Linked DNA regions of Mus musculus. The protein of the gene in region 1 binds, or shares a complex with, the protein of each later gene. Links are inferred from orthologs where the notes say so. Each region holds a gene or a part of one and is shown on either strand. Other genes may lie near its edges.

Region 1 (6,635 bases):
CTTACACTCTGTCAATCAGGAAGGTGCTAACATTGTCAGTCATTCTCACAGTCAAGTTTTTTTGTTTGTTTGTTTGTTTTTTGGTGTTTTTGAGACAGGGTTTCTCTGTGTAGTCCTGGCTGTCCTGGAACTCACTCTGTAGAACAGGCTAGCCTCGAACTCAGAAATTCGCCTGCCTCTGCCTCCCAAGTGCTGGGATTAAAGGCATGCACCACCATGGCCGGCCTCAAGTATTATTCTTTTGTTTGTTTGTTTGTTTGTTTGTTTGTTTTTCGAGACAGGGTTTCTCTGTGTAGCCCTGGCTGTCCTGGCACTCAATTTGTAGACCAGGCTGGCCTCGAACTCAGAAATCTGCCTGCCTCTGCCTCCCGAGTGCTGGGATTAAAGGCGTGTGCCACCACGCCCGGCTTCAAGTATTATTCTTTTTTTTTTAAGATTTATTTATTTATTATATGTAAGTACATTGTAGCTGTCTTCAGACACTCCAGAAGAGGGAGTCAGATCTCCTTATGGATGGTTGTGAGCCACCATGTGGTTGCTGGGATTTGAACTCCCGATCTTCAGAAGAGCAGTCGGGTGCTCTTACCCACTGAGCCATCTCACCAGCCCTCAAGTATTATTCTTATTTAACCCCAAATTCATTGTTGTTATACAGTGTGCCTGCAAAAAGAGACGTTCTGATATTGGATTATGTGAAAAATTCAGTTGTCCCATTCATGTCTGAAAACTCTAACTTGATTTTCTCTCATCTGTCCAGTGTTGATCAGTTTTGATCTGGGCTCATACTTGCTGTAGTCCAAGATCTTCATTAGAATATTTAAAGATCAGTTACCTCCAAAAAATGAGTGTACAGAAAAAAAATGTGGGAAATGTTAGAATTTCAGTGTCTGGGACACTAGCAGTCTGAGCTCACTAGCTGAGGGTGATAACCTTGACCTCTGTTTTTTGTTTGTGTTTGTTTATCTTGGGATTGTTTGTTTGTTTCAGATTGTCCTTGTAATTACTTTGTAACCCAGGCTGCCCCTAACCTTGCAGTAATTCTTTTGCCTCTGTCTTCTGAGGGCTGAAATTACAGGTGTGAGACACTGTTTCCACCTTGACCTTGAACTCATTCGTTTGTTTGTCTGGAGACAGGATTTTTCTGTGTCACCCTGGCTGTCCTGGAACTCACTCTGTAGACCTGGCTGGCCTTGAACTCAAAGATCTGCCTGCCTGTGTCTCCCAAGTGCTTGAGCCAGCACTGCCCTGACCTTCAACTCTTGACCCCTTTTTTCCAGCAGCCCAGTGCTGGGAACACAGGTGTGTGCAGCACTGTGCTGGCTAGTTTTTGTCAACTTGACACCTAGGAAGCGAAAACCTCAATTGAGGAATTGCCTCCACCAGATTGTCCTATTGGTGAATTTGAGGGTCATTGTGTGACTACTAGTTGATGGAGGAAGGCTTAGCCCACTGTGGGCAATGCCACCCGGCAGGTGGTCCTAACCAATAAAAGTAAGTTAGCTGGTTGAGGCCAGCTAGCCAGTAAAGACAACGTCTCCGCTTGGTTTCAGTTCCCTCCTCTAGGTTCCAGCTTGAACTCCAGTGCTGGCCTCCCTGGATAACGTTAACAGGTTAGGTGAAACACTTTCCTTCCTAAGTTATTTTGGTGGTGTTTATCACAACAGCAACACTATCCAGGGCTTCATGCATCCTAAGAAAACGATTTGGCAAACGAACTTCATTCCCAACTAAGTTGTTTTAAATTTCAAACCTAGGAAGGACAGACTAAAATGTGCATTTCACGAAGTACTGTCTTAGATTCTTCATAAATGTTATTATTATTTATAATGATATTTTTGCACACACCTCCCTACTTTACAGCATAAAACAACTTTACAGGTGGCACTCTCCCGGCTAGGGACCAAAACACAGTCCAGATCCACCCAAGGCTCAGAGACTTAAGGCGGCGGCCGCCCCCTTCAGGTCTCTTTGCTTCAGACACAAGAAGACAGGATGAAATTTTCCCCTCACAGGTTCCCGTCACAGGACAGAAACAAGGGGTGGGACAGGAAGTGGAGCCTGGCTAAGTTCCGGGTGCAGGGCGGCCACTGGAGGAGAGCAAGCTGCTGCTCTCGCAAGCTTTGGAGGCAGAGCCGCCGCAATGTTCCGGATCGAGGGTCTCGCGCCCAAGTTGGACCCGGAGGAGATGAAGCGGAAGATGCGTGAGGATGTGGTCTCCTCCATTCGGAACTTCCTCATCTACGTGGCCCTGCTGCGAGTCAGTGAGTGTCCTTCTGGGCTGTGACCGTGAGGCCACGCGTCCACACCCAACCCTGCACGCGGTCGTGGGGCCTTGAGCTGAGCATCCTGGGGAGAGTGGGGTGCTTGCACGTCCAGGACTGCCCAACTGCGCACACTCTGGGGGTCTGCGGGTCCTGGGGATGTGCCCAGTGCACGTGGTGGCGGAGGACGCGTGGTTAAGTCACCTTTGCTCGCCCAACGTTTGTGCTTAAGAAGCTCCCACGTGTTATCCTCGGAGCAATACCCTCGTTTTGCAAACCTAGAAACGGTCCCCGGAAGGTGGCTGACCCAAGGTCATTTGGCCGTTCAGAGAACGAATACAATTCCGGCTGAGCTCTTAATAAGGTAGCAGGCGCTTTCTCTCTCTGCTTGCCTTTGAAGTACAAGAGATTAGCTTTCTTTATGTTTGTTTGTACAGAGGGTGAAGTAAATAATTGGTTTTTCTTGGAGAATCTCTGAAGCGTTTGATCTCAACATTAACAAAAGTTGCTTGATCTGTGCCACCTCACCCCAAGTGAGAGCTTGAGTTCATAGGACACATACTCAAGGTTAAAGCCATACTGTCAATTTAAAAGTCAGGGGCTGGCTAGGTGGCTCACTGAGTTGCCTGAGCCGGATCCACACGTGGTGGCAGGAGAGAACCAGTTTCCAGAAGTTGTACTCTGACCTCCACACCTGTACCACTTCTTCCTATTGTCCAGTGCTTGCTTGCCTGTGGGAGTCTTCTGGGCAGGGAGAGGCAGGAGCGATTCAAATAATTGAAGAACATACCAACATTTTTAGAAGACTGGAGTTAAGGCCTCCCTCATTTGGGTGCCTCTTTTGCTGTACTCTCTGTATTGCTGGCTCCTCCAGGACAGGACATCTTGGGGGAAATGGAAGCACCCAAAACATCCTGCTTACCCTTTAAACTTTAGCTTTCCCATCCTTCTCTTATAGGCAAGAGCTCTCAAGGAAATGTTAGCTTAGTGCACTGATTTATTCTATTTAATGATTTTTATTTAGAACCGGGCATGGTAGCACACACTTTTAATCCCAGCACTCAGAAGGCAGAGGTAGGTGGATCTCAATGATTTTTTTTTTTTTTTTTTTTTTTAAAGACCAGCCTGGTCTGCAAATGGAGTTCCAGGACAGACAGGGCGGTTACACAGAGAAATCTGTCTTGAAACAAGAGACTTTTGTTATGTGTTTTTCTGCTTGTCTATATGTGAACCACGTGCCTGCAGTCCAGAAGGGGGCGTTGGAATCCCTGGAACTGGAGTCAAGCTGGCCATTAATTGTAAGCTGCCAGGGATGGCTGGATGGCTGGGCTGCTGGGATCTGAACTCAGGTCCTCCTGATTGACCGCAGACACTCTGAACTGCTGAGTCATCTCTATCTCAGCAACGCCACTTGGGTATTCCAGACAGCTCTGTGCACATCATTTATCACATCAGCACAGTAACTGGTGTGATCTGAAGGGCATAGGTGACAGAGTCATAGAGAAACCAGAGTAGGTGTCTGTTCCTCTGCTTGCCTTACACACACACACACACACACACACACACACACACACACACCTCCTAGCCCCTGTTCTCCCAGCATTGGTAATGAAGCCTAATGCCCATTTGATTCCTCTTGCATTTCGTCTTGTTTGGGTTAAAAAGGAATCTGCTCCACCTCCCACCCCCCTCAAGTATACCTTGGGGGTAAAGTCCTTGCCTGGCCCGTGCAAGACCTGGATTTAACTTCCTGTAGTGCAAAATAGGTCAAAGATGCCCACAGTGAAGGGCTGTTGGGGTTACGTACAGCCCTGGAGGAAAGATGCCGGAGTGTGAGGTTGCTTGCTCTTTGTGTGCGATGGTTATTGAGTGACATGGGGGTGGGCAGCTTTGCAAAGCAGCGGATCCCTTCTTGTGGTCAGACACAATTGTTGGATAACAATTTGGAAGTTTCTAGAATCATATTTCATAAAGTCAGTGACATCCACCATCGCCACCACCACCACCATTATAACTGTGCAGTATGGCCTGAGGACTTGTAGAATAAAACCTAATTCAGGGGCTGGAGAGATGGCTCAGTGGTTAAGAGCACCAACTGCTCTTCCAAAGGTCCTGAGTTCAAATCCCAGCAACCACATGGTGGCTCACAACCATCCGTAATGAGATCTGATGCCCTCTTCTGGGGTGTCTGAAGACAGCTACAGTGTACTTATGTATAATAATAAATAAATCTTTAAAAAAAAACCTAATCCCGGGTTTTTCTTTCAGCTCCATATATCTTAAAGAAGCTGGATAGCATCTGAGGACGGGCAGTCAGGTGGATGCATGGCATGAAGACCTGGTGACGGCTTCTCCTCCTGTCTGCAGCTGAATTGGCCCAGAAAGGTGTAAGGCTGATTAAACGGACATATAAACTACTTGTTGAGAACAAGTAGGACTTTGAGAACTGACCTCCATAGCTGAAATATAAAGCCACTTGGGAAGTGCAAAAAGATGTCTTGTGTTCATGGTGCCCTTAGGCCCATGAACTCCACCCCTGTGAGTGTTGATGGAGTGGTTAATAATGTCAGGCTCTAAGGGGAGTCATTTCTGTTTACCACTTCTGTTCAAAGTGTTATTTGTGAAGTCTGTTTGGAAGTCAGCATACACCCACAATGACATTTAAGCACAGTCTATATTTTTAATAAACATTCTGATGAAGAAAGCGTGGTTTTGTGTTTTTAATCCCACTTTGGTCATGGCCATCCTTGGTGGGACTGTTACAGCACTGCGACTATTGCTCCTGGAGTTTGGTTTGAGCTTGAGAATCTGTTAATCCTGCTATGTGGAATTATGCTTCTTGGCCAAAGTCTTCATGAACTGCAGATGACTGACTGCTTAGTGCTAGAAATACAAAGACCATGAAAGTGGGGAAGGGGAGGCTGCATTTTAAACTCCAATAGTTCTCTAAGAGTGTTGGCTGAAGAGGGCTATCAGTTCTCCAGAGCAACTATCCATGCTCCCCTCTGTTTGGCTAATGTATATGGGTTTTGTTTCATTTGTAAGATTGTTTCTATTTGATGTCTATATGTGTCTGCCTGCTTGTATGTATATGTACCACGTGGGTGTTTGTTGCTAATGGAGACCAGAGGAGGGCATTGGATTCTCTGACATCGGATGCTGGGCCTCCTGCGAGGGCAACAACCGACCCGTCTCTCCAGCAACACCAGTGTATCTTGTAACATGATGGTGCTGTTGTTATTCTTTGTACCCCTCGTGTGGATGTTTGTTTCTTGTCACCTGTCTTCCTGTGTGCACCTAGTGCGGTTTTGGGTAGACCGGTGGTTTTCTTTCCCTACATAGTCCTATCATCTCCTAGATTTTATTTCCCTATGAACTTCCCACTAAATTAACTTTTCACTGAATACCAAAATGCATCATTTGCTTTGGTCAGTCACTGCATCTTCTCGCCTTGCTGAGGGAGTGTTCCCTGGAGCCTCTGCTGGTCCCTCTGGACTGTGTGTCTGTCACCTGGGAACGGTGTTTTCCTACCCTTGGTGTTGTTTGTTTTCCTGGGGCCCTGACTGGTGGCATAGGAAGTAGACATTTTTAGACCTCACTGGTCTGGAAGTGGCTTGCTCTCTGGTCACATGATTAAATCTCTGCTGAAGTTAGAGTTCTGGTTGGAATCCTCACCCTCCAGGGTTTTAAGACATTATGATGTTGGCTCCAGCTTTGAGTGCTGCTGAGAAATCGGAAACCTTTTGACTCCTGGTCTCTCTGAGAGGCCTAATTTTTCTTTCTGAGAAACAAGGATCTGTTGTCCTGGTAGTCTCTTCCATTATACAGTGGGGTGTGTGTGTGCATGTGCATGCGTGCGTGTGTTTGTCTGTGTCCAGTTCACTGTGTGGGTACTTGATCACTTCACTGTCTTAAAACTTGGATTGCGTGTCCATTAGGTCTCATAAATTTTGTGTTTTAATTGATGGTTTCTTTCCCTATTTTCCCTTTGTAGAATATACAACTCTTTATTTTCTTTGTCTTTCATACTGTTGCCTAAAATGGCTTTCATCCATCTTTCTTTCACGTTTAGACACTTCACTTTGTGACTGGGTAAAACCTGTTGGTGTTGGACTCTCCCTAAGGGAGATCTTTGAGGCATTTAACTGGGAAAAGGGTTTGTGTCCCTATCTTTAGGTATTTTGTATTAAGCTGGTCATTCCTAAGAGAACATTCTTCTAATCTTGTAAGGCCTAACTAAGAAGTCTTGCTAGGCTTCTGAGAGTCAAGTGAGGCGGGAGGGCTGTAGTTAGTTAGGCCCAGGGGAGAGGGGTGTCCATCTTGCAGAGGTTGCTTAGCCTTGTGGAGGTGCAGGCAGCATCTGAGAACTTAGAC
Region 2 (6,692 bases), on another chromosome or scaffold:
ATGCCTCTACAATCTAGTCACTTTAAAGCTATGTCTAAAATTATTTGTTGTTGTTGTTTGGTTGGTTGGTTTTTAGTTTATCAGAAATTTCGATACCTGAAAAGTTAAGAAATGTCAAACACTGCCAAGCAGTGGTGGCAGCGCTCACCTTTAACCCCAGCACTGGGAGGCAGAGGCAGGTGGATTTCTGAGTTCAAGGCCAGCCTGGTCTACAGAGTCAGTCCCAGTACAGCAAGCACTACACAGAGTAACCCTGTCTTGAAAAACTAACAAAATAACATTTTGGAGGTAGATTTGTTTTTTCAAAGGAACAGCGCAGCCTATTATAGGATAATCCAACTGAACTGACAACATGGAAGCTTTGGAGCTCTGCATGCACATCGAGATGACATTAAATACACATGAAGTATGCTCTTCTTCCAACAAACAGTTTACATGGGAAATGTGTATGGGCAGCAGTTTTTAATCCTGCATGACAATAATTACTCAAGTGCCACCTACTACCATCCACCAGTCCCTGAGATCAAGAACCAGCCTAACATGTGCCAAGGAATGCTCAGGACACAAGGCCAACAGGGCCAGAGGACCAATCCTCTCCATCACTGGAGCATCATCTTCTACATTTTGGGTAGCCTGCACATCCTGCAGTTCAAGAAATCAAAAGACCTTAGTAGGACTTAATTCTGGGCAGGTCTGCGTAGTACACCATCAGTGCTATGACGACTCAACTCTACTCAAGTATAAGCAGAGCATCCCCTCTTCAATCCAGGTCCTACATGTCCTTCAAGACCTTACACTTCCTAACTTGTTCCTAGTTCTGGTTTACCATCAGCCTTTCCTTTCCAACAAGAATTTTTAGTTTACAAATCTACTGCTTGATCCAATTCTCTGATTATCTTCGACTTACAGTTTGTCTTTCCAATAGAAAGGGTGTTTTTGTTTGTTTTACAACACTGGACCTCATACATAGCTGGGTAAACACTCTACTGCTAAGTTACACTCCCAGTCTTAAAGTAAACGTTTTAAAGACAAAGATGGTGTGTTTTAGTTTAAAACAACATACATGCACAAACACATTTAAAATTCAGTAGGCTGAAAATAAAGATTAGTAGTAGAGATGCAAGGCCCAGCAACAGTAAAGAAAAAATACTTACAGTCACCTAATACTCTATAATCTATTAATCCAAGTCAGTCACTCAACCATAACCAAATAATTAAGACTTCTTCACAGACCAAAGAAACCACAGGACAAGACAAATATAAAAGCCACAAATGCAACAGATCTAAGCATCAAGAAACAGCACCACAAACAACTTAATAGATACCAGTTACATGCAGAGCAGCATGCACACAGTACCGAGCAATCATAGTTTAGCATGAACATTAAACACCCATCTCCAATCTCACAATAAAAACTTCTAGAGAAGAAGGAGAACAGTGCTTTACTTTCTCCCTTCTTTAACAACAGTCGGGAAGGATCAACACATATGAAAATAGCAAATTCTGTAGAGACATTCCAGTCAGGATAAACAGGCAGACATCTCCATGGATGGCTGTTAGAATGTAGCCACTATACTAAATGGTCATTGTAGTCAAATAACCAAGTTACTACTCAGAGCCCAGAACTCTGACAGGTACTAAGAGAAAGGGTTACAGGAGTCACGGCCTTCATGCTTGTCATCTACCTGAGTAGACAGTCCCAAATAAGCAATGGCTTTCCCAACTTCTCCATGCAATCATGGTAAAACATACATAATAAAGGAATATAACAAAACCATGTGAAATGCAGAAATCACATACAAAGCCAATAAATCAGACTACACATAAATCATTCAAAACAAATTAGCTTCTGCCTCCTTAAGGGAAAAGAGCTGTAGATATTTATGGGCTATGAAATTAACAGCTTCGTGAAAACGAATCAATAACTTACCACACCGCTGCATGACTTCGTCTTCACATCCAGCTTCACCAGCCCAAAGCCTTCAAAAAGAGAGGGCAAAGATATGATTCTTCTGCAGAAAAGACGTATACCCACACTCAAAGTACTGTGAACATAATCCCAAAGTCCGGGACAGAAATGGACAAATGCACAGCACATGAAGGAACATTTACAAGCAGTCAGCTCTGCTAAGGTGACAGTAGCGCTGCCTAGTGTCCTATAACTGGCTCCACTTCCTGCCGCACCCTTTTCAAGCCATTTTTAAACGTTAGATTAAAAATCAGTTCCTCAGACTGGCCTACTGTTTATGGCAACACACTTAGGACTTTTATCCCAAAAGGGTATCACCAAAGAGCAAGGGGTAGTGGTATGTGCAAAACAATCAATTTTCAAGAAAGCACAAAAATTGACTCAAAACTCTAAGGTTTCCACCTACCCAGAGTCATAACCACAAAAATAAAACAGTAATTCTAGGCAGCTCTATCCAACCATGGTCTGAACTGTCACTTAAAAGAATAAAGTACAGGCTTTCCCCTCTCCCTAGGGGGTGGGGAGTGGGGTGGTACTCGCCTCCCATCACTTGGGAGGCAGAGGCAGGTAGATCTGAGAGTTCAAGGCCAGCCTGGTCTACAGAGTGAGTTCCAGGACAGCCAGGACTACAGAGAGAAAGCCTGTCTTGAAACAAAACCAAAAAACAACAACAAAATAAAAAGAACAAGCTTTTCAATTGTGACCGAAGAAAGGCTAAGAAAGTGGGGTACACATGCAGCTGGCAGAGGCATGAGTGCAGCAGGGTATTCAGTCTAGAAAAGCAAAGCAATTAACTTTTTTCAAGAGGTCCAAGCATATATTTTTCTCTTTTATGTTTAAAAGGGAAAAAAGTCCTTACCAAATCCTTTGTTGAAAATGTCTCTGGCAGCTTTGCCGAGGTCAGCATAGGGTGGAGGGATACACATCGCTAGTCAAAAGAAACATTCTACAGTTAATGTGAGCTACTACTAGGACCTACTGCTAACATTTACATTCAAGCAGTTCAACCGGAGTGGGTTTTGATGCCACTAGAACTTCAATAAATGTTATTCTAAAGTAGCCACCCATAACAAAAACTTATTTCTAAATAGCTATGTGGTAATACAAACCTGGGACATTTCTACCAAGTTTTAAGAATGGGGGAAGCCTTTCTAATTCCTAAACATAAGTGTCTACTGCCTACACAGTTGCCAAAACTCAAGGTGACTGATTTAACGGAGATAAAAACCAAAATTTAAGCTTAGGCGTTCTCCCCTAACAAACCTTTGGGAAGGACTTCCAAAATCAAAACCAACACTCTGGGAACTGGCACAATTGAGACACGGGCAAAAAATACAACCATCTATGTCTACAGCAACTAAATATCAAATGGCACTTTAAACACATTACTACGGTCCCCCAAGTCCTCCGACAACGTGAGGCTTAAGGGCAAGGAATCCGAGCTCCAGGAGCAGCTCATTCATTCTCCAGTGCACATCCACGCCCTTAGGAACACGTGTAATGACCTTGTAGTGCACTCGACCTGTGCAGGCAGACAGCGAACTACTTCCTCTTGCAAAGTGACTGCTCTAACTCTCCGCCCCCCCCCCCCGAACCCCAAGATGGAATTCAACAACTAAGTGTTTTGCTTTCGGATTTGTAAGTAACATATCCAAAAGCCAAGGGTGGGTGCGGCCAAGGACCAACGCCCCAGGCGCGAGCCCCCCTATCTGCAACCCAACAGCCCAGCACCACGTCCGTCAACAGAGTGGCAGTGTAAGACTTAGGGGGCGCGCAAAGAAGCAAACTTTCCAAGTCTTTGCAGGCATCATGTGGGCCACGGCGGAACAAGGTATGGTTCTCTAAAGAGGAACAGCACAGCCCCCATGGCCCCATCGCGCAAACACCTCTTGTGCTACTTACGCCGTGGGCATACCGGTACACAGCACTCAGCCATGGCGAAGTCGCGGGGAAAAGGTGATCTGTGAAAGGGACAAGAAGTGCGGTCAGGGGACAGTCAAAGGGTCCCCTGGGGAGCTCGGACATTAGAGAAAGGGGCCGGGGCCGCTGCGGCCATCTTAGGGGACCAGGGCCGCCCTGAGTTCACTCAGGCTGCCGGCCCGCCCTAAGGCCCCAGAGTCGGCAAGAGGCGGGCACCATAGTACCTGCGGGTGTCCTGAGGGGCGCTGCCGCCACCGCTCGGCTCGCAGCTGAGGCCACTCCGCTATCTGAAAGTTGCGCTGCAGCCACCGCGGCTGGAGGGCGAAGTGAAGGAGACACCGTTGCGCCCCGCCGCAAGCCTGGCCTCCCCCAGCCAGGTCCCCGCCGCGGCCGCCCGGGCTGTCTACCGCGCCTGTCCTTGCCGCTCCGCCCGCTGCCCACTCCCACCTGCTCCGGAGTGACCACGTGGGTCGAGAGCACGGCGGTCTCCTTGGGTGAGCGGTCTCGGACCGTCCGGCGGGGACGGGGCGAGCAGGAGCTGCGGGGCCTCGGGTTAGGCAATGTCCAGGACAGCCCCAGAGGCGAGGACCTGGGAACGGCGGAGGCGGCGCAACGGCACCCGCGCGGTCAGGATGGGAGTGGCCACGCGAGTCGCGACGGGGCGGGGCGATGTGCCCCGCAGGGTCACGTGCACCCTCTCAGCCTCCTCCCTGAGTCCCAGCCTGGAGGTCTGAACTTAAGGTCCGGGTTGAGGGGGATGAAACACTCTCCCCAAGTGCAGCCTCCATGCTCTTCCCATCTCGGTTCACCGCCCACCGCCATGTCCTCCCCTGCTGGGACTAGGCTGGGCTCCAAAGGAACAAACTTGAGCCAGTCTCTGGGCATTTCTCTCGGAGCCTCAGGGTTGCGCTCCTGCAGCCTCCGTCTCACCCATATATGGTATGGGTTCACACACGCGCAGAAGCACATCCTGCTCTAGGAAGAGAAGCTTCCCCTGGTTGAGAGGCCTGGAGAGACAAGGGAATAACTGTAGGATTCATGCTGACCAGTCATTAGAATGCTGCTCTCAAGTTCTTTAGATATGCCAGAAGAGGGAGGGAGCAGCCAGTCCTGATGCCTATACCTGTAGTCCCAGATCTGGGCGGCAGAGAAATTACACCAGATTGAGGCTAAACTACAGAGTGAGGCAAAAGGTTAATAAAGATAAGAGACCGCTGGATAGTGGTGGTGCACACCTTTAATCCCAGCACTTGGGAGGCAGAGGCAGGTGGATTTCTGAATTCGAGGCCAGCCTGGTCTACAGAGAGAGTTCCAGGACAGCAAGGGCAATACAGAAAAACCCTGTCTTGAAATAATAATAATAGAGACCAGTTTGAGGCTAAACTACAGGGTGAGGCAAACAGGATAATAAAGATAGAATCGGAGGCTCAGTGAGTAAGAACCCTTATCTTGCTGTGCATGCAAGGGGACCTGAGCTCGGATCCCCAGCACCCAACACCCACATTAAAAGCCAGTAGTAGTTCCAGAAATAGAAACAAGAGGGTCACGGGGGCTCTGTCAACCTGGCCTGCAAACCGTGTTCTCTAAATTCTGTAAAAGGTGAAGAGCAGTAGACACTGTTCAAAACACACACACACACACACGTCAGCCATACAGAAGATTTAAAATGGAGACAACTGACACTTCAGCTCAATAAACTCAAATAATTTAGCCTGTGGACCTCAATTCCCTCATCTCTAAGATGCTGTTTAATAATCTTCAATAGACATACAGTTGGACTGAGAGCAAAGACACCCACACATATGCACTCATGACTCAATCGTCTCTGAACTCTTCCTCTACTCAAGTACTGTTAAGTCATCACTCTCCTCCTAAGCCGGAGGAAAGATGGCTAGGTGGGCTCCCCCCAATCCAACACCCAAGTTTAAAGTTACACTCTGGTATGTTTCTCTCCCAGGAGCAAGGCTAGCCAGCAACCTCACCTGCTCACAGCTGGAATTGTGTTGTAAAAAGTGAAATGGGAAGAGTCTTTGTGTGTATGAGATCGGGCTCCAGCACCTGACTCATCCCTTCATCCAAGCTCAGGCAGGTTGGTCTGCCATGGACCTGGCCCACGGGAGACAGTCTGCCCCAGCTGTGTGATGCTTGTGGTAGAGTTTGGCCTCCTCAGCACTGCCTTCCAGAAAAACTCAGCCTGCTAAATTAGTTACCTCAATTGCCTATAGCAGGGCTTATTCCTATTCTGTATTACCTGTCACAAGTTTTGATCTCCAGAGACATCATTTTCTGACACAAAAGTCGGAAGCTTTACTCTGTAAAGTATGTGGGTGGTGCTTAATGGCCACTGGGGACAAACTCCAGCCTAAGCAAAGAATTACAGGGGTGGGAAAGATGGTGACTCCTTCCCATCATAAAGACACAGCTGACACTCCTATGTAAAAGGCAGGTTAGCAAGAGAAATGTATAATTCATTTATTTGATCATGATTTTATATGATATACAAGCCACCAAACTGAAGAGCCCAAACATCCAAGGTGAATTATTGATTTTTATTTTTGAATTATTGATTTTTGTGCTTAGGTTGACTGAAGCATGGACAGCCAGATAGGAATATAAATGAACAAAAAGAGTATAATCTTTATAACAGAATGAGTAAGGATCCCACAGGGTCTGTCCAGGTAGCCCATCCTCCCAGCTATGGATAAGAACTCCTTCTAAAAAGAAGGGGGTGGTCTTCTTGGTGTAATGCTGGGAATTGAACTAATGTAAGACCAGCATTACACCACTGAGCTATAACTCCGAT

The links. The genes of interacting proteins can lie anywhere in the genome.
Region 2: the proteins of Tomm5 (region 1) and Vdac2 are in contact, whole or in part, in a cryo-EM structure (PDB 9EII), measured with the Homo sapiens proteins. The link is inferred for Mus musculus from reciprocal best matches to the Homo sapiens genes TOMM5 and VDAC2. Residues at the interface, in NP_001001790.1 of Homo sapiens: Ile25, Arg29, Leu32, Ile33, Ala36, Arg39, Val40, Phe43, Ile44, Lys47; in NP_001171752.1 of Homo sapiens: Val38, Thr60, Gly63, Asp239, Tyr258, Gln260, Thr261, Leu262, Leu268, Leu270, Val286, Leu288.

Annotation. Positions count from the first base shown.
Region 1 is NC_000070.6:45,103,539-45,110,173, reverse strand, and holds Tomm5 (mitochondrial import receptor subunit TOM5 homolog), read left to right. Parts: upstream 1-2,060; 5' UTR 2,061-2,140; coding exon 2,141-2,261; intron 2,262-3,285; coding exon of another isoform or gene 3,286-3,335; intron 3,336-4,529; coding exon 4,530-4,564; 3' UTR 4,565-4,965; downstream 4,966-6,635.
Region 2 is NC_000080.6:21,829,089-21,835,780, reverse strand, and holds the start of Vdac2 (voltage-dependent anion-selective channel protein 2), read right to left. Parts: upstream 4,221-6,692; 5' UTR 4,114-4,220; intron 3,931-4,113; 5' UTR 3,906-3,930; coding exon 3,872-3,905; intron 2,898-3,871; coding exon 2,829-2,897; intron 1,981-2,828; coding exon 1,931-1,980; intron 1-1,930. UniProt on the Homo sapiens protein: Non-selective voltage-gated ion channel that mediates the transport of anions and cations through the mitochondrion outer membrane and plasma membrane.